Schizosaccharomyces pombe: one gene and its partners. The gene in region 1 interacts genetically with each later gene. Each region holds a gene or a part of one and is shown in the gene's direction. Other genes may lie near its edges.

Region 1 (6,219 bases):
GAACAACAGCAGCTTCATCAATCTTAGTTTCCACTGTATGGTCATTTCCTTCCGAAATTTGTACAGGTCCAGGAGAAGCTACGTACACGGCGTCCCAGGGTGAACTAGGATCTCCCAATGAAGCAATTGCTGAGTAAAGGGCAGTGCCACTACTACGATGCTGAAACGTCCATTCGCGAGTATCTTTATTTAAGGCTGCTTTAAATTGAAAATTTCGAGAGACATTAACAATACGTTTATAAGCAGCTGATTGAGTATTTCCTTGCGCGCCTGAAGGCATTTCTAGAGCACTTAACTTCACCGAGGAGAAGTGACGAGAAATATAGAGAATAAAACCAATGAATCACTACAATAAGCTAGCAAAAAACTTTAAATCAATGTCGTTTGCGCTTGTTTAAGCAGATGATTAAACGTATAGAAAGTAGGAGACCGTACTATAAGCTCAATATTACATTGGACAGTGTACCCTAAATGACGGAAAATTCAAATGACCGAGAGAGGTAGTAAGACACCGAATTCACCGATATGAAAATGGAAATTCCCTGCGAATAACGAATATATGATGAATGAACCTTTTTACTAATGAATTATGAATAACTGATAAATGAGATGGTGTTCGTCATTGCCCAAGCTTTTGAAATGATGTGAAGACGCTAACACTGAGATGGTAGAACAAATCTGCGACTATGGCGCTGAAAATTCATTTCCATTAAAAGATTGGGGAGCTGAATACGTATCATTATTTCCATTTTTCCTTGTAGGCTTTGGACATGCCTGATAAGCATCGTTTAATGCAGGTAGAAGTGTATTTAAATTTTTACAAAAAGAGTTAATTGCATCACTAGCTTCTAACAAATGCTTATAATGATTATATACCAAAGATCTATGGTCGACAGAAAGCCCTTGAATCGAAGCAACCAAAGATTTATCACGCTGCAATAATTCGGCTGGTGTGGCTTTCTCCATAAATTTAGAAACGTAAGCATTTGAATCGAAATTTGGATCTGAGAACTCTGGATCAACTTTATCTAATGCTGTTTCTTCCACTGGCGAAACGGTATTAGAGCTAGACGGTTTTCGAGTTGTAGAAACAGTTGAAGATGAGCTATTTGAACCAGGTAGATTATAAAAGTCTCTTAAAGCTTGACGGCGTTTACTTGACATATTGTACAATTTACTTAACGACAGTGCTTAATAAATAATGAAATAAATGTATCTACAAGGCCAGCAACGAACAAAATACTGTTGCCGACAGAAAATGCTCTAGTGATAGAAATGAGTGAATAACGTACTCCTGTACATCTTTATATCATATATCGATGCTTCGAATATTTCTTTAAAACATTCTATTGCTTTGTTTCATATTGATAGTTTGATTAAAAAGTTTCGATACTTTTATTGCTGATCTGGTAGCAAAATCTCAACGCATTTTAAAAATGCATTTTCGCGGTATTGCGATTCTTTGGTAGATGACAAAAACAAGACTAACGATTGCACGCGTTAGAAAATTACATAACCATACTTCAGCTTCTTTTTCCATAGTTATTTCCATTAGTTATGATAATATTCGATAATACAGAGAGCGTCAAGCATATATATATTATTTAACCTTTGAGCGTTTGCTGTTCTTCTAAACTGAATTGTAGGCTTAGTGTTGAAAGAGAATTTAGCACTTTTAACAAAATCTCATTCTTTCTGTTAAACTAGAAATGCATATTTAATTTTCTTAAATTTAGTTTCCTCCCCTTAAAAGTAGTTGAATATTTGATTTAAATTTGCAAATATATTTTAACTTCAGTATACACTGAAACAGTTTTTTAACATACAGTAAACTTGCCTAACCTCGTGCAAAGCGGTTTCTTCTGTTCATTTTAACATTTTGTTGAAAAGTCTTCTTGTTATATAAATAGACAGTTTGACGGATGGAGTTTATGCAACAGTACTTCCTTCTTCAGAAACCAGCTTGCATATGATTTGGTAAATTCAATTAGTATCATCGCTACTCTCTTTTGTTGTACTGAAAAATCTAAGCTCAAACATACGCTTTCCCGTGTTTATAAGGTGTTATTTTATGCTTTATTAACTATTTTACAAGGGAACCTTACATTTGGCTCTGTAATGTGCAATTACTGTTATCAAAACTCGAAATAGTATACGAAAGATTTCCAGGTTTCTGAAAAGGTTGTTTTACCTTTAAAATGTGTCATTCGAAAGAAGTAAAATTTAAAACCAATTTTCATCACCCGTATACCCCATACGATATCCAACTAGAGTTCATGCGCAGTTTGTACTCTTCCATCAGCGATGGAAAGATTGGGATTTTTGAATCACCAACTGGAACGGGAAAAAGTTTGAGTTTAATCTGTGCTTCACTTACTTGGCTAGACGAACATGGAGGTGTTTTACTTGAGGATAATGAAAAATCTAATGACAATAAATCTAACACATCCTCAAAAATTCCAGATTGGGTTCTAGAGCAAGACTTGAAAATACAAAAGGATCTAGTAAAAGAAACACATGCACGGCTTGAACAGCGCCTTGAAGAAATTCGAAAGAGGAACCAAAGTCGCAAAAATCAAATGAGCAATAATTCAACTACATACCACAGGGAAACAAAAAGGAGGAACATAAACGCAGAAGCCTCAACCTCAGACAATTGTAATAATTCTAATACTTCGGTTGATCCGATGGACGAATATCTAGTTACAGCAGAATATACGATGCCATCGACTTCTGAACAATCTGAAGATTTATTTAATAACGGTTACAGTTCCAAAGTCTCTGAACTATTGCGAAAATTAAGTCCCGATAATGAAAAACCACCTATAGTTCAAAAGGTACGAATTTAGGTGCTTATAAGGAATATTCATTTAGTGGTAATATTTTTCTAACCTACTGCTAGATATATTTTACTTCTCGAACCCACTCTCAATTGCAACAGCTTGTTCAGGAAATTAAAAAGCTCAATAATCAAACCTTCTCAACGCCAATACGAGTAGTTTCTTTGGCTTCTCGTAAGAATCTTTGTATTAATAATGAAGTCCGGAAACTTCGACCAACGTCTGCTTTAAATGAAAAATGCATTGAGCTTCAAGGTACTTTAACAACTTCACTAGATTGAAAATTCAGTTTAATATTAACTTTTACATTTTAGGATCAGCTCACAAGTGTCCCTTTTTACAAGACAACACTCAATTATGGGACTTCCGGGATGAAGCACTTGCTGAAATAATGGATATTGAAGAACTCGTAGAATTGGGCCAGCGTTTAAAGGTCTGCCCTTATTACGGAACGAGGGAAGCAGTGGATTCAGCTCAAATTGTGACCCTACCTTATCCTTTATTGCTACAAGAATCAGCACGAAATGCGCTTAATTTGACTCTTAAAGACAATATATGTATAATTGACGAAGCTCATAACTTGATTGATGCAATCTGTTCCATGCATTCTTCTTCCATCTCGTTTAGACAAGTTTGTATTGCTGAAACTCAATTGCAACAATATTTTCTGCGGTTTGAAAAACGTCTGAATGGTAATAATAGAATGCATATAAAGCAATTGATCAAAGTTGTCTATAACCTAAAATCTTTTTTTTTAAATTGTCTAGAAACTAATACGAATTCAAAAGTGATCAATGTCGATTCTTTACTGGTATCAAATGGTGCGGATCAAATTAACTTGCACCATCTGTCTGAATACTTGAATGTTTCAAAACTAGCAAGAAAAGTCGATGGTTATACGAAATATATGCATTCATTGGGGACACAAGAATTGGAGTCTTTGAATGATCTTCGTAGTGAAAGATTTTCAAACGGCAATGGATATGAAGAGGATCCATACACACCGGTCCTAATGCAATTAGAATCTTTCTTACTGAATATCGCCAACCCTGCTCCTGAGGGGAAACTATTTTACGAAAAACAAACGGGGGACAATCCATATTTAAAATATTTGTTACTCGATCCATCCAAACATGTCGAGATATTGACCGAACAATGTCGTTCAGTGAATTTAGCTGGTGGCACCATGTCACCGATTGATGACTTTATAACCCTTTTATTTTCAGATGAACAATCTCGTATACTTCCATTTTCATGTGACCATATAGTTCCTCCTGAAAATATTACAACCATTCTAGTTTCTCAAGGTCCTGCAGGCGTCCCTTTTGAATTTACACATAAAAGAAAAGACGATGAGAATTTATTAAAAGATTTGGGAAGGACTTTTCAGAACTTCATTTCCATTATCCCAGATGGCGTCGTGGTTTTCTTTCCCAGTTTTGCATTTTTGCAGCAAGCTGTAAAAGTATGGGAAATGAATGGAATTACAAATCGTTTAAATGCAAAAAAACCATTATTTATTGAAAGTAAAGATTTTGGCGATAATCCTTTGGATACTTTTGAACACTATAAACAGTCCGTAGATGCAGGCTTGAGTGGAATGTTGTTTAGCGTGATAGGAGGAAGACTTTCAGAAGGAATCAACTTTTCAGATAAACTTGGCCGAGCCGTAATGGTGGTAGGAATGCCGTTCCCTAACTCGCAAGATGTGGAATGGCAAGCCAAGGTCTCATACGTAGAGGAAAAGGCCAAGGAGAAAGGCATAAATGCAAAACAAGCTTCACAGGAATTTTATGAAAATACCTGTATGCGAGCAGTAAATCAAAGTATAGGTCGAGCGATTCGACACCGAGATGATTATGCAAGTATAATTCTTTTGGATTCCAGATATAATCGATCAAGTATACAAAGGAAGTTACCAAACTGGTTAAGCAAAAACATCCATTCTAGCCCTAATTTCGGACCTGCTATACGGCAACTTGCTACTTTTTTCCGGGCTAAAAAGATGTGTGATTAGACATATGGTTTGCGTTACAGCGTCAACATAGGCTTATTTTAGAATTACGCTTCGCATATTGTAAATAGATTACTCTATAATTTTTAGAAAATACACCTCTCTCGTATTTACCGACTACTCAAATCATTACTCGTCAAAGGTATAAAAACAAGATCTATTTTGAACGTCAATTAAGACTGCACTAATGGTGTCGCAAATGAAGGTTGTTTAGGTAGAAAAAAACCAACTTGAGAAAAGTTACGACTTAGAGCAGGAAGAGGCCTCTGCCATGATATCCAAGCGTCACGCTAGGGACCGCTTAATTCAGTCCATCGAGCTGTAGATGATCCGTTTATTTACTAATTCAAAGTTAGAAGTCTGCAGGTCTGAGTAATATAATACAACACTTACGATCTAGCTCTCATCTTTCTTCTTTTACGTTTAAGGCGTCTCACGCGTTTCTTCCTCCACTTATCACGCATTGTGGTTATGGATGACTAGCAGACTAGGCAATATTTCATCTGTATAGCACATTGTGACTGCTCTTTTAAGAACACACAATACGGACGTAACACATTCAAAAGTACAGTCAAGTAACAGAATTACTCTAGTATGTCAAGGAACGAAATGTAAACATACAAAAAGTGGTTAATTACATATTTTATTTCAAATGATCCGTCAACGATAGTAAGTGATTTTTAAGTGCTTCCTTTTGCATATCTTTTTTGAAAGGTTCAGCTCTTCAAAATCAGATTTAATAATAATCCATTTAATGCTATATCATCCATTCATATTATCCTTTAATGACAACATACCTGATGTTGTTGTATACGACTTGCGATCTATTGTCAAACGCTGTGTAAACTTCAAGCATACTACATACTTTAGTTTGTAAACCGTATACAGAACAGGTATATCATAAACATTCTTTAAAGTCTAGTAAGTAGTCTACAGGGAAGGTGAAACGCATTTTTGTGCCATAGAATAGTATAAATTTATTCTTAGACATTGTAATTAGACTGCTATATAAGATACTGAAAGCATCCGGAACAAGTACTGTGTTTTTAAGTCGAACTGTTAAACTCCTTGACAATTTGAGCTACTTTAATCATCTATTAAAAACAAATTTTAAAATGCAACGTTAACCCTTTGGTACTAAAAGATACCATGTAAAAAATGTATAATCCAATAAATTTAAAGGATATGCTAGCAATGTATATGAATACCAATTGTGTATAACAGAATGGATTTAATATCTGTAAAAACTGAATGATACCTTTTTTAAAGTAAGAGATAGAGGTGGCTTTTTCTTTTGCGGCATTTGCCAAGCAAACAACACCACCCCAAATATTTAACGCAATCTCGCTCCACTGCACAAAGCAT
Region 2 (5,701 bases), on another chromosome or scaffold:
GGCTGTAATTTAAACAAGTAAAAAATCACTTTTTATTATATTCACAGTTTTTTGACTTTTTTTTTTTATTTTCCAGTCGTTATACAAGGATCGTCGTAAACTAAGATACAACAGGGTAAGTTACTCATCGCTTTCAGGTAAACAAGAACACTGTCTTTTTATGATGATTCATTTTGAATTCGGACACAAAAAGCAGAAACGGGAGACCCAAAGAAATCAAGCTTTTCGTACTACTTCAAACCGGAGGAATTAAGTCTTAAACGGTTCAATAATGCATTTAATATGGGCAGAAGCACATAACGATATCCCACACTAGGAAAGCCCAAAGCAAGGCTAATTAATCCAAGCAACGAACCAAACGTCAAACTAAACATCAACGAGAATAAAAGTACAATTAGGCTAAATTTAAGAAATACACTTTGATGTTTAAACCATTGATAGCCCTCTTTGGATACCTCTTCAATAGACGAGTAGCTATAGCGCGACATAAGACTAGGACGACCATCATTTTCTAGATGTGGAGATTGCCCAATTGGAGATTCATCCTTCAATTCTCTTTTGATATCGATATTCTGTTCAGTCATTTTGTTTTGTGGCAATTTAGTTTAATATTCAATGTGTTCCAAAAGAAAAATAAACGTTAATAAAGGTAACTGTTGTATTATTAGACAATAGTCCTTAGCAATCTATTTAAATGTAACAATTGCTTTAGTAATTTATACTTTTTCTCTTTTAAAGTCAGTGAACCGTTGTTGGGAAAAGTCAAGAATCAAGGTTAGAAACATATACGTATTCATTTTATTTACGCCTTCCCCCACATTGGATATTGCCAACAATGAACAATGACATTAAACTTCTGCAGAGGCGAAAATAATGCTATACATTCATTTTATTTATTAAAATGATTTATGAGCGAATTGCCTTCTTCCAACAGTCAAACTCGAATTCCCCTTCACTAAAACATACGGGAACTGTTTTGCGCAGTGTCCACTATTGGGAAATGGAAAAATCGAATTTGCTAGACGAATATGGATGGAATTCTTGTCTATTCCTTTTTCTATTTTTTGTTTGATTTTTTAAATAAATTAGCTTGTTTATCGAATTTATCTGGATGGGGTTTATCGTTAAAAAAAAACACCCTACCCAAAAAAAAAAAATTTATTTATTTTTATAAGTATTTTTATTCATTAACCTTCTTCTGGCATACGAGTCACAATCAACCTTTTAATTTTGACAATAATATAATAGAAATAAAATAAATTTTCAGTCGTGGTAATTTCTATTACATATTCGTTTAATGTAATGTGTTTTGACATTACTAAAATGGGATGAAAACATCCTTTTACGAGTCTATTTAATCATACAGAAAAAATGGCATTGAAGATGCAATTAATGAATGGAATTCATTTGATAAATGTATTCAATGGAAGGATAATGCTTCCAAAATAAGGATGGTCAAAATTTAACTCAAGATTGTTAAAACAAGGTTGTAATCGGAGTTTTCCGTTTTATTGAAAAACATATCCCCTTATGTCTTATGACTATTTTAATTGAATAACATAATTCAAATGCCTTTTGTTGCCTTCTATGCACATATGTGAACGTAAATCTAGCGCATCATTTTATAATACAGTTAGTAGGCCGAAACATACAAGCATATAACAAAGATAAATCAACTTCTTCGAGGAAGCATATTCCCTTGATCATGCTCAACAGTTTCTAACTTCAATACAAGCTTTTTTTATTCATTTATTTAACTATTTGTTGCTACACATACTAGTTTGTTTATGTATCATATTCATTGTCGGCATGGCAACGTGGATTTATTTACGCGCAGCGCGTACTCATTTAACCAGCACCACGTATATTCATTTTTACAAATACCCAGCTTATATCGTAGTGAGGAGGCGAATTTTGCGAAAGAAAGCATTTCTTTCATTTTAATATTTATTAATTTTTTGTTTATTTTTGTTCTTTTTTGATTCCCCTCTTTTTTTTGTCTTTACTCTTTAATTTCTTTCTATCTTTTTCTCCTAATCATATTAAGCTTCTTATGTTCTATTCAGAGGCCATTCTTTCAAAAAAGGTATGTAGTTTATAAGTTTTCTTTAGCGCGTAAACAGTGCTAATTTGTCTTTGAATCGTCTGACTAACTGTTCGCGTTAGGGTCCTTTGGCCAAGGTATGGTTGGCAGCTCACTGGGAAAAGAAACTTTCCAAAGTGCAAACTTTGCACACCAGTATTGAGCAAAGCGTCCATGCAATTGTCACGGAGGAAACCGCTCCAATGGCCCTTCGCCTATCAGGACAACTAATGTTGGGTGTTGTTCGCATTTATTCCAGAAAGGCTAGGTATTTATTGGAGGATTGTACGGAAGCGTTGATGCGTTTGAAAATGTCCTTTCAACCGGGTCAGGTTGATATGATTGAACCAGCTACTGCTCTCCAATCTTTAAAAGGTAAAGATGCTGTGACACAGAGCGCTAATCTCACTCTTCCTGAGACAATTACAGAGTTTGATCTTTTGGTACCTGATAGTACATTTGATTTTCAATGGTCTCAACTTCTTCGTACACCCTCTCGTTCTTCGAACACTCTTGAACTACATTCTTTACCAATATCTTCCTCTCCTTCTTTTCCATCTTCCCAGCTATCAATTGAGGCTGGACGAAATGCCCAAGTAGAATCAGGGTTTTCCTTGGGCGAATCATTCGCACATGTTGGCAATGATATGCAGTTTCATCTTCCCATTTCAAATTCCGGTGCTGCTACACCTAGAAGTGTGCACTCTGATAATCAGTCCCAAATTTCTATAGAAGTAGGTAGAGATGCTCCTGCTGCTGCTGCCACCGATTTAAGTGGAATTATTGGGCCTCAAATGACTAAGTCGCCGGCTAGTTCAGTCACTCATTTTAGTACGCCAAGCATGCTACCAATAGGAGGAACTTCATTGGATGATGAATTGTTGGCTCCTGTTGATGATTTAAACCTGGATTTGGGCTTAGATGATCTTTTAGGAGATGAACAAGGTGCTAATGCTCCGGCGATAGAGGCTGATGAACAAGCTGAAACATCAAGTATTCATCTCCCTTCTGACATTATGGAAGATGATTCATCTCGTCCTGCAGCAGCAGGAGTAGAGGAAGGTCAGGTTGTTGAAAGCGCCACTGCTCCTCAACAGGAAAAGATCAATCCACAGAAAACTGTACGTCGTCAACGTGCAATTATTGATCCCGTTACTGAATTGTCCTCCAAGCAAATGAAAAAACAATTGGCAGATACATCTTCCATCACCTCACCGTTATGCTTGAATACATCTTCCATCGTGTTTAATGCCACCGTTAATTTTACTCGAAACGGTAAATTTAATACTTCCATATTTTCTTCCAACCTGAACCCTAAAGTAAACGAGCTTTTGCAAGCTGATTTCAAACAGGCAATTCTAAGAAAGAGAAAAAATGAGAGCCCAGAGGAAGTCGAGCCTGCCAAGCACCAACGTACTGATACCTCAACTGAAAACCAAGAAACTGCTGAAGTCTTGGACCCTGAAGAAATTGCAGCCGCTGAGCTTGCCAACATTACTGAAGCCGCTATCGCTACTTTACCACAAGAAACCGTTGTTCAACCAGAAGGAGAAGCTCCTGAGCTTGGTTCGCCAATGGGATTTCCTGTTACTGCCTTGGAATCAGCCGATGATTCACTTTTTGACGCTCCTCCCGTAATGCTGGACGAGGCCGATTTGCTGGGAAGCGAACGATTGGACTCTTCGGTATCTGAGGCCCTTCCTAGTTCACAAACAGCCAAAGATTCTCTACGCAATAAGTGGGATCCTTATACTGAAGGTGAAAAAGTATCCTTCCAAACTCTTAGTGCGGGATGCAATAGAGAGGAAGCTGTTCAACTTTTCTTTGATGTCCTCGTTTTAGCGACGAAGGATGTTATATCTGTCAAGCAGGATGTTGCCATTCAGAACGAAATCACGCTTACTGCTAAACGTGGAATGCTACTTTCATCACTATGAGAGGTCGGTTAATATTTTTTCAAAATCCAATTAGATCTATAAATAAGTGTGAATACTTACACGAAATAGATTTTTATGACAGTAATATTGTTCATTGCTTTCTTTTATCTTTATTTTATTTTTGGAATCACGAGTTGTATGTCTTTCTTTTTCCGAGTTACGATATTACTGTTGGATGTATGTAATATTATCAGCTCAACACAAAGTTATGATTAGAAATAGCTTACGCGCTTTTTAATTTATTCTCAATGATTGATCTATCTCTTAAAAATCTTCCTTTCAATGCGATGATACGGGTTTACTAGGATTGAATATATAAAGACAATATGATCATATTATATTAGGCGTATCTTTTTTGTACCCAATGGTTGAGAATTTGGAAGCGAGGAAGCTACGGTAACTTGCATACCTTTGGAGCGCGCCCAATCTATTGCATCTCTAGAAACAGAATCACAATTAATAATATCTATACGTTTTAATTCTTTCAGTCCTCGTAAAACTGCTATAAATCCCGATCCATCGAGGGATATTGAATTTGAAAAGTTCACATACTTTAGATTTGGACAACAATCAGTAATGTGTATTGCATGCTTATTTTGAAGAGCAACGTTATCAGGAATCTCAAGATGCTCAAGTTCCGGTAAAGATGCAAATATTTCAAAGAAATGGGGGGCCAATGCTAGCGAATCGTGTAGAACCAGCTTTTTTAGTTTGTAACAAGAAGTCAAAAATTTGACAACATTATCGATATCATTTTGAGATAAACGAAGATAAAGAAATAACTCTAAGTTGATTAGTGATTCCATCCGGACATTTGTAGGGAATAAATATGGACATAAAATTGTAGATGCAGGATTGCAGGGTTTCACAATTAACGTGGTAAGAGATTGAGGAAGGAATGCTAGATCTTTAACAGTATTCGATACTCCTTCATCAATGATAATTAACGATCGGAGATTAATTTTATATTTTTTTATTGCAGCAACTAGGTCTGACTGATATGAGGCTTCCAGATATTCTAAATATGGACTGGCAGACAGCAAGTCTTTAAGAAATTGCTGTTCTTTATGGTGAAAGGGAAACTTTTGATTTCGGATAAACGTCAAAGATTTAAGAGCCAGCGGTACAGATTCTGCATTAAAGAGTTTATCCCAATCCATAGAATCAAATATCAAATCGGGAATTAAGTCAACAAGCTCAACCTGCTTGAGTTTCTTACAGCAAGATAAAATCTTAGAAGCTATGGAAAATGTTATAGGAGTAGCACAATAAAAGTAGTGAAGTTCAGAAAATGGCGTCCAAATTGTATACAATTTATCCGTTGACTGAGTGTGGAGAGGTGAAATGGTTTTGTAGACTTTAAGTGATTTGACTGAACGAAGTAAGGCTTTGGTAGGTGTTAATATACCAAGCTTCTCTAAGCCAATTACTTCCTGTATATTGTCTTTTGAATAAACAGAGTATCGAGCAACAGCCATAACGTTTCGATCTCTAGAGTTTACACTTCGAGGAGAGGCGCATGAAAAGTCTAAGCAACAAAATAAGCTAGGTTCTTTCTTAATACAGTCTCTCCAGTGTTTGCAGACTTGCATACACTGAACAATACTTTTGAAATTTAGTTGCTGTAGAATACATAATAGGACTTCTCGGGGAAGAATGCGAAACAAATCTAGTACCGGCC
Region 3 (5,570 bases), on another chromosome or scaffold:
GACGAGTCCTTTCTAAGGAGCTAGCTTAATGATTATGTACATAAAATCTTCATTTTAACATCATTCAAAGTATTCTATTTAGTCGCTCGACTTTTCGACTTCTTTAGTCTCCTGTAACTTTCTCAAAATTTGTCATTAATCAACCATCAGCCAAGGTCTGATTGATTTGGTCTTTTTTTGTTAAGTAATTAATTTTGGAAGTGCTTACACTGAAGACGTCTATATGCTCAAAAGTCGCTGTTAGTTTGTTGCCTTTGCGTGAACTTGCTTTGTTAATTTCAATACCATATTGACTTGTTTTTCGATCAGTATTCAACTGTTTTTATTTTAATCCTGATAATCTTGATTTAAATCAAATTTACTTCCTAAATGGATATTTACGAACATAAAAAATCATTCATGGAACGACAGATACGGCTGTTGAACCGACCTATGCGCCCTCCAAAGGATTGGAAACTTCCTTTAAAATCCGGTCAGCTTTCAGAATCAGTCGTTGAAACTGTATTCCAACGTACGTGTTCCATGCTTTTGTCTGGATTTCTCCTACAAATAAAAAGTTCAAAATATTATTATTAACCAAAACAGGATTGCAACTTCGTATCCAAAAGCATGCAAAGCTAAATTATTCACATCAAGCAACTCAGCATGTTGCCGCTCAAATACGAAAGTTATATGAACAAAATAGCGCTATTGAGGACATTACCTTTTTAAATCCATTATTTTATGGAGAAATTGATTTAAGCAATTTAGACAGTGTAAAATCACTTCCCCATCCATGGCCTTTTCAAAAAGAATCCCGACCTGTCGAAAAGGATGAGGAGCAAGAGAAGTTCAATCGTCTTACGGGAGAGTTACTTGGTCTATTAACAACGTTGTCAGAATTAGAACAGGAGCGCTCTGAACTTGAGCAAATCGAAAAAATGTTGGAACCTTTTGAAGATGGGCCTTCTTCAATACATACGAATATGTGGAAGAAAAACCCTGAATTGATATCAACCCTCAACAGTACGAACACCATGGTAGCTAAAATTAATTCTCTTCTCAGAGGGGTTTCATTTCCTTCTTTAAACAATGACAATCAGGAAGCGTCATTGGAGGACGAAATCAGAAGCCAATTATTCGAAAAAACTATTTCTGATGATTAAAAAACTTTTCGTAGAAATTGAGAGGGAATGATGTTCATGAACTCCTATTGCATCTCATCATCTGCTTTTGAAATAATGACTAATACTTAATTGGAGGAGAGGGTGCCTTATTTCCTGGTTTAAGGATTTTATTGACTCTACTAGAAATGTTGGGGCTATAGAAATAACTTTGAAGCTTCTACTTTACGTTCAGATATTTATTGGTTAATGATTTCCTAGCTTTGGGAGGCATTAAGTTAGTTGATAAGACAACACATTTTTATTTACAAATGAGTGTCCGCTAAACAAAATACGTTTCTTAACAATTGTCTTAGTTTTATTTTTTAGTTTACAGTGTTTCTAACCTTTAATGAATCATTACAGCTTATAATTCAAATACTCAGCTCTCGATTGTAAGTACGTTAACATTAATTTTATCACAATTATAATACCTACATACAAGGAACTATAGATTTAATTATTTTTCTTTTCTTCTGATAATTCATAAAGCTTTATATTCCTAATGAATTCATATTACTTCACTTATATTCTGAAGCTGCATATAGCATGTACCATCTGTAAGCTCGATGAAATGAGTGATGGGTAAAGTATCTGCAAACAATCAATCTGGTAAGTCAATGTGTATCATTCTTTTGCTAATATTAGGATTTTTTAAATTTTATATCGATACAGCGTTGCTTTTAAATGCTGAATTTATATCCTCCTTCACAAATTGTATAAAGTATGGTTTTGCGCAAATGGACTATTACTGATGATATAGTTCTGAATATAATGGAAAAGTAAAAATTTCTTACTCTTCTTCATCTCAGGTATTTTATATATCCTAGCTATTGACGCTAATAATTCAGCAATTCAAAGTCATAGTGTACGAGGAACACAAAAGAGAAGCGTTTAGTCTGTAAGTTCCATGCGTTCATCCTAAATATTATTTTAAATATTAATTAACATGCTAGTTTTGAGGAAATAGTTCAAAAGTTGAAGCGCGAATCAACTGTTTACAAGAAACCACGCCTAGATATTCATCCATTCGGGCAATTGCATTATGATTTTACTACTTTATTGAATTTTCAAAGGTACTTAGACTTAGGATACGGTATTGAAGATGTGAAAATAAAAGAAAATGAGGACATTGTTAAGTCTAAAGTGGGCAAGAAACCGACATCCTCCGATTTTTATATTCCTTGCTTGATAAAACCTAAAATCATTACTCCTTTTGAATGGGAAGGAAATTTTAAACAGGTCATTTATTCGCCTACTGTTTACAACGGGAGTTTCAAGCGATTATTTTACCTTCCCGACAATAATGATTTGCTCAAGGAGTTTGCGCATGCTACCAACACAAAATACAAGGCTTCTTTAAAAGATAATGTATGTATTTGTGAAGATACTTCTACCATCCTAACTTTTGACTAGAAAATAGTTGTATTAGCCAATAACGATCAGGACATTAATGCTATGTTGGAGAAAATGAAGCATATAGAGAATTTAGTGTCCCAGAAAGTCTATGAATATCCTGAAGAAACTCTTGTTTATGCAGGAAAGATTGCACCCTGCCAACTGAAATTTCTAAAATTAAAATTTGAAAACGAGATTTTATACACAGCTATGCATACGACATCTATTTTCAAAAGCGTTTTCAATATCCTTGGATCTTTTTATACTATGAGATTATTGAGAAATAAACATGATGGTGATTCTTATGAGTTGGTACCAGTTTTTGCTAAAAATCCTTCCAAAACCCCTCCCTGTAATGATAATTTTAAAATATTTTCTGATGATATAAAGCTGATAGGATGTAAAATATTTGCAGGTGTTTCTTTAAACTTCTCTTCTCCGAAACCAGCGCACAGATTTTACGAGTTAAATAAAACTTCATCCAATTTGTCGATCCCAGTCTTACAAAAGCCGTCAAATTTTCATTCTTCGTCAACCGAATTATCTGATAATTCAATTCATCAAGGAAGGAGAGCAGTTGATCCTGTTGTTAACCAGAATAATCCGTCAAATTTTGAAGAAATGATTATGAACAAGTTGAATAAATTACCCACGATTGATAAGCAAATTTTAGGAACTTCATCTTTGACCCATTTCCAAGATAAAACAACTGCAATTGAGCATTCAATTAATAAGTCTAATAGCAAGCAGCCTCCTCGGTTCAAATTTCAGCTTCCTCCTCGACCTACGAGCAATACTTTACCATTGGAACCTGAAGAAGAGCTGGTTACTAGATATTCTGTTTCTTCGGATGGTAATACTGTTGACGAAGCAATAACTAAACAGTCTCAGACTTTTCAATTGGTCAATTCAAATGAATTTAATGAAGTTAACGCTAATGATGTTCATAAATCTTTGCGACAAAATTGCGCAAAATTGGATTTCGACGATTCAAAGTCTAAAAACCTATTAAGTGTAGAATGTTTAGAGCTTGACAAAGGATCAGATTGTTCCACTCCAAAATCTGGCAGCTTAACTCCTTCAATTGACATGAAGTTTTTACGTTTACAAGATGAGAAAATGGACGACCTTGGTGACAACTATTATACAATTCTAATGTCTTCCAATCCGGTATCAAGCTACGGTGTGGGAAGCTTATACTTATTTCAACCAAAAATAGTATGCTCTGAAAAATACATTAATCACGAAGAGATTGACAACATGAATTTGAAATCATTGCACAGATGGTTATCTAGAAGGTCTGTGGTATTGACTAAATATGTAAACATAAGTCTAACACTTTGTTTAGCTTGCATGTACTTCAATCCTTTTCAGGTGAAATTGAATTGAATTTAGAGTATGCGTTTATTTTTGAATAAATATTAATCCAACAGGTTTGGCGTCATACTATATCCAAATATCTCATCAGATGTGTCGGCTTGTTCACATGGTTTTATGAATATATATAAGGATTTGAATCTTCCCCGATCATATTTTGCAGACTGGTAGGTTGAGTCTTCATATGTTATATTAACCTTTTTATAAAGCATTACCAAATCAGTTTCGAATATCGATTCATTATTGAATACTCCTGTGAAAATTTTGTTTGGACGTACTGAGTATACTTATCCTTTAATAGAGCATGAAGTATTAGATTCAAAGAATTACTTTGTTTTCAAGGGAAGTTTATTATTTACAGATGATAAGAGAAACAAGACAGAGGATTCCACTGTATTTTTTTCGATGATTTGTTCTTCAAAGTTAGATCAGTTTGCGTTTTATAAAGATTCTAAGCAATCTTCTACTTGCACTATCAATTTTCCTTTAGCGTATGTTATGAATGTTTTTAAGGAAAAAAACAACTAATCATGACTTATAGCTTATGGGATTCCCGTCTACGTATCGAAACGAAAGTCCCTTTAAATGATGCGATACTTACAGAGTTCTCCAAAAGTATTAGATTTAGGTATGTCAATTTCTGAAAGCTTCGACTAATCAGTTGACTAGAAACGTAAATAAGGATTTACTGTTAGTCTTTGGAAATATGGAAGACAGAGTAATAATTCATTCGGTCACAAGAATTAATGAAAACTCTGTACCTTTTAACAAAAATTTACTCCCTCACTCTCTAGAATTTATATTAAAATGTTCAAAAGTTAAGAGCTATGACATTAGCCCGTCATCTATTAATTCCAAAGAAGCCTTCGTTTGTCTCGACAGATCCAAGGAAAGCAAACCTATAGAATCCTGTTTCAGTCTAAGTATACAAAGTGTGTACATGCAGTCTCAGTTCAAATATAATAACAGTATACGCGCAGGAGAAACGGCTCCGTGGAAACTTGCAAATAAACAATTCATTGGTGGGGCTATTACTGAGAATGTTTCAGACTTGTATACTGCAGCAATTATTATGGTGAATCAATTAGGGGGGATACACCCTACTATTTAATTAATTTTATTTATGCGTTAATATCAATTTTGTTTATACCACTTAACATAAATAACCCCTCAAACCAAATTCTTAAATTAAAACAATGCGAGGACCCATTTAAAACGAAACATATAGAGTCAGTTTCATTTACCCGGGTTCTCCAATGCATCCAATTCCACTGCACGCTCGCGCAATTTATCGTATCCTTTCAATACACCTCTCCATTCGGAATCTGTTCCATAATTGATATTTATCAACTCTATGTCCCTATTTATTTTTCTTAAAACTTGAGATATTTTCTTCCTATGATTGTTGGGTTCATCAGCTACACTGAAAACTTGTTCAGTAAACAATCCAAGCATCGATAAAACCGTTCTACAAACTTTTGAAGCAGACGGAGAGTTGGATCCATCTTTAACAACTGGGCAAGCGTCAGACCACGAGTTTCTAATGAATTCTATAATTCCAGGTATTAAAGGATATATTGTCTGCCAACGGAAAGTAGGGTTATCGACAAGATCGTGTTTATTTGGATTGAATAGCGACAAATATGCAAATGA

Evidence for each region. Genes that interact genetically often act in the same process or in processes that back each other up.
Region 2: of chl1 (region 1) and rad21, changing one enhances a phenotype caused by changing the other (phenotypic enhancement), as found in Schizosaccharomyces pombe (one study listed by BioGRID).
Region 3: mutations in chl1 (region 1) and ers1 together harm fitness more than expected from each alone (negative genetic interaction), as found in Schizosaccharomyces pombe (2 studies listed by BioGRID).

The regions. Positions count from the first base shown.
Region 1 is NC_003424.3:5,396,916-5,403,134, forward strand, and holds chl1 (ATP-dependent DNA helicase Chl1), read left to right. Parts: upstream 1-1,829; 5' UTR 1,830-2,198; coding exon 2,199-2,837; intron 2,838-2,902; coding exon 2,903-3,095; intron 3,096-3,154; coding exon 3,155-4,857; 3' UTR 4,858-5,188; coding exon of another isoform or gene 5,189-5,195; 3' UTR 5,196-5,247; coding exon of another isoform or gene 5,248-5,318; 3' UTR 5,319-5,495; downstream 5,496-6,219. Other genes in the region: trehalose-phosphate synthase Tps2, read right to left, coding at 1-280; GARP complex subunit Vps51, read right to left, coding at 685-1,164; rpl4101 (60S ribosomal protein L41), read right to left, coding at 5,189-5,195, 5,248-5,318. UniProt on the Schizosaccharomyces pombe protein: ATP-dependent DNA helicase important for chromosome transmission and normal cell cycle progression in G(2)/M.
Region 2 is NC_003421.2:1,341,039-1,346,739, forward strand, and holds rad21 (mitotic cohesin complex non-SMC subunit Rad21), read left to right. Parts: upstream 1-1,854; 5' UTR 1,855-2,053; coding exon 2,054-2,086; exon of another isoform or gene 2,087-2,166; coding exon 2,167-4,020; 3' UTR 4,021-4,355; downstream 4,356-5,701. Other genes in the region: SPOM_SPCC338.18 (uncharacterized protein), read right to left, coding at 231-584; F-box protein Pof3, read right to left, coding at 4,356-5,701. UniProt on the Schizosaccharomyces pombe protein: Cleavable component of the cohesin complex, involved in chromosome cohesion during cell cycle. The cohesin complex is required for the cohesion of sister chromatids after DNA replication.
Region 3 is NC_003421.2:799,474-805,043, forward strand, and holds ers1 (RNA-silencing factor Ers1), read left to right. Parts: upstream 1-1,684; 5' UTR 1,685-1,723; coding exon 1,724-1,754; exon of another isoform or gene 1,755-1,790; coding exon 1,791-1,866; exon of another isoform or gene 1,867-1,905; coding exon 1,906-1,954; exon of another isoform or gene 1,955-1,993; coding exon 1,994-2,043; exon of another isoform or gene 2,044-2,066; intron 2,067-2,098; coding exon 2,099-2,513; intron 2,514-2,558; coding exon 2,559-3,838; intron 3,839-3,887; exon of another isoform or gene 3,888-3,888; coding exon 3,889-3,936; exon of another isoform or gene 3,937-3,973; coding exon 3,974-4,084; exon of another isoform or gene 4,085-4,126; coding exon 4,127-4,408; intron 4,409-4,458; coding exon 4,459-4,545; intron 4,546-4,586; coding exon 4,587-5,028; 3' UTR 5,029-5,070; downstream 5,071-5,570. Other genes in the region: protein Fta4, read left to right, coding at 370-511, 586-1,145; rRNA processing protein Ipi1, read right to left, coding at 5,154-5,570. UniProt on the Schizosaccharomyces pombe protein: Involved in RNAi-dependent heterochromatin formation and centromeric silencing.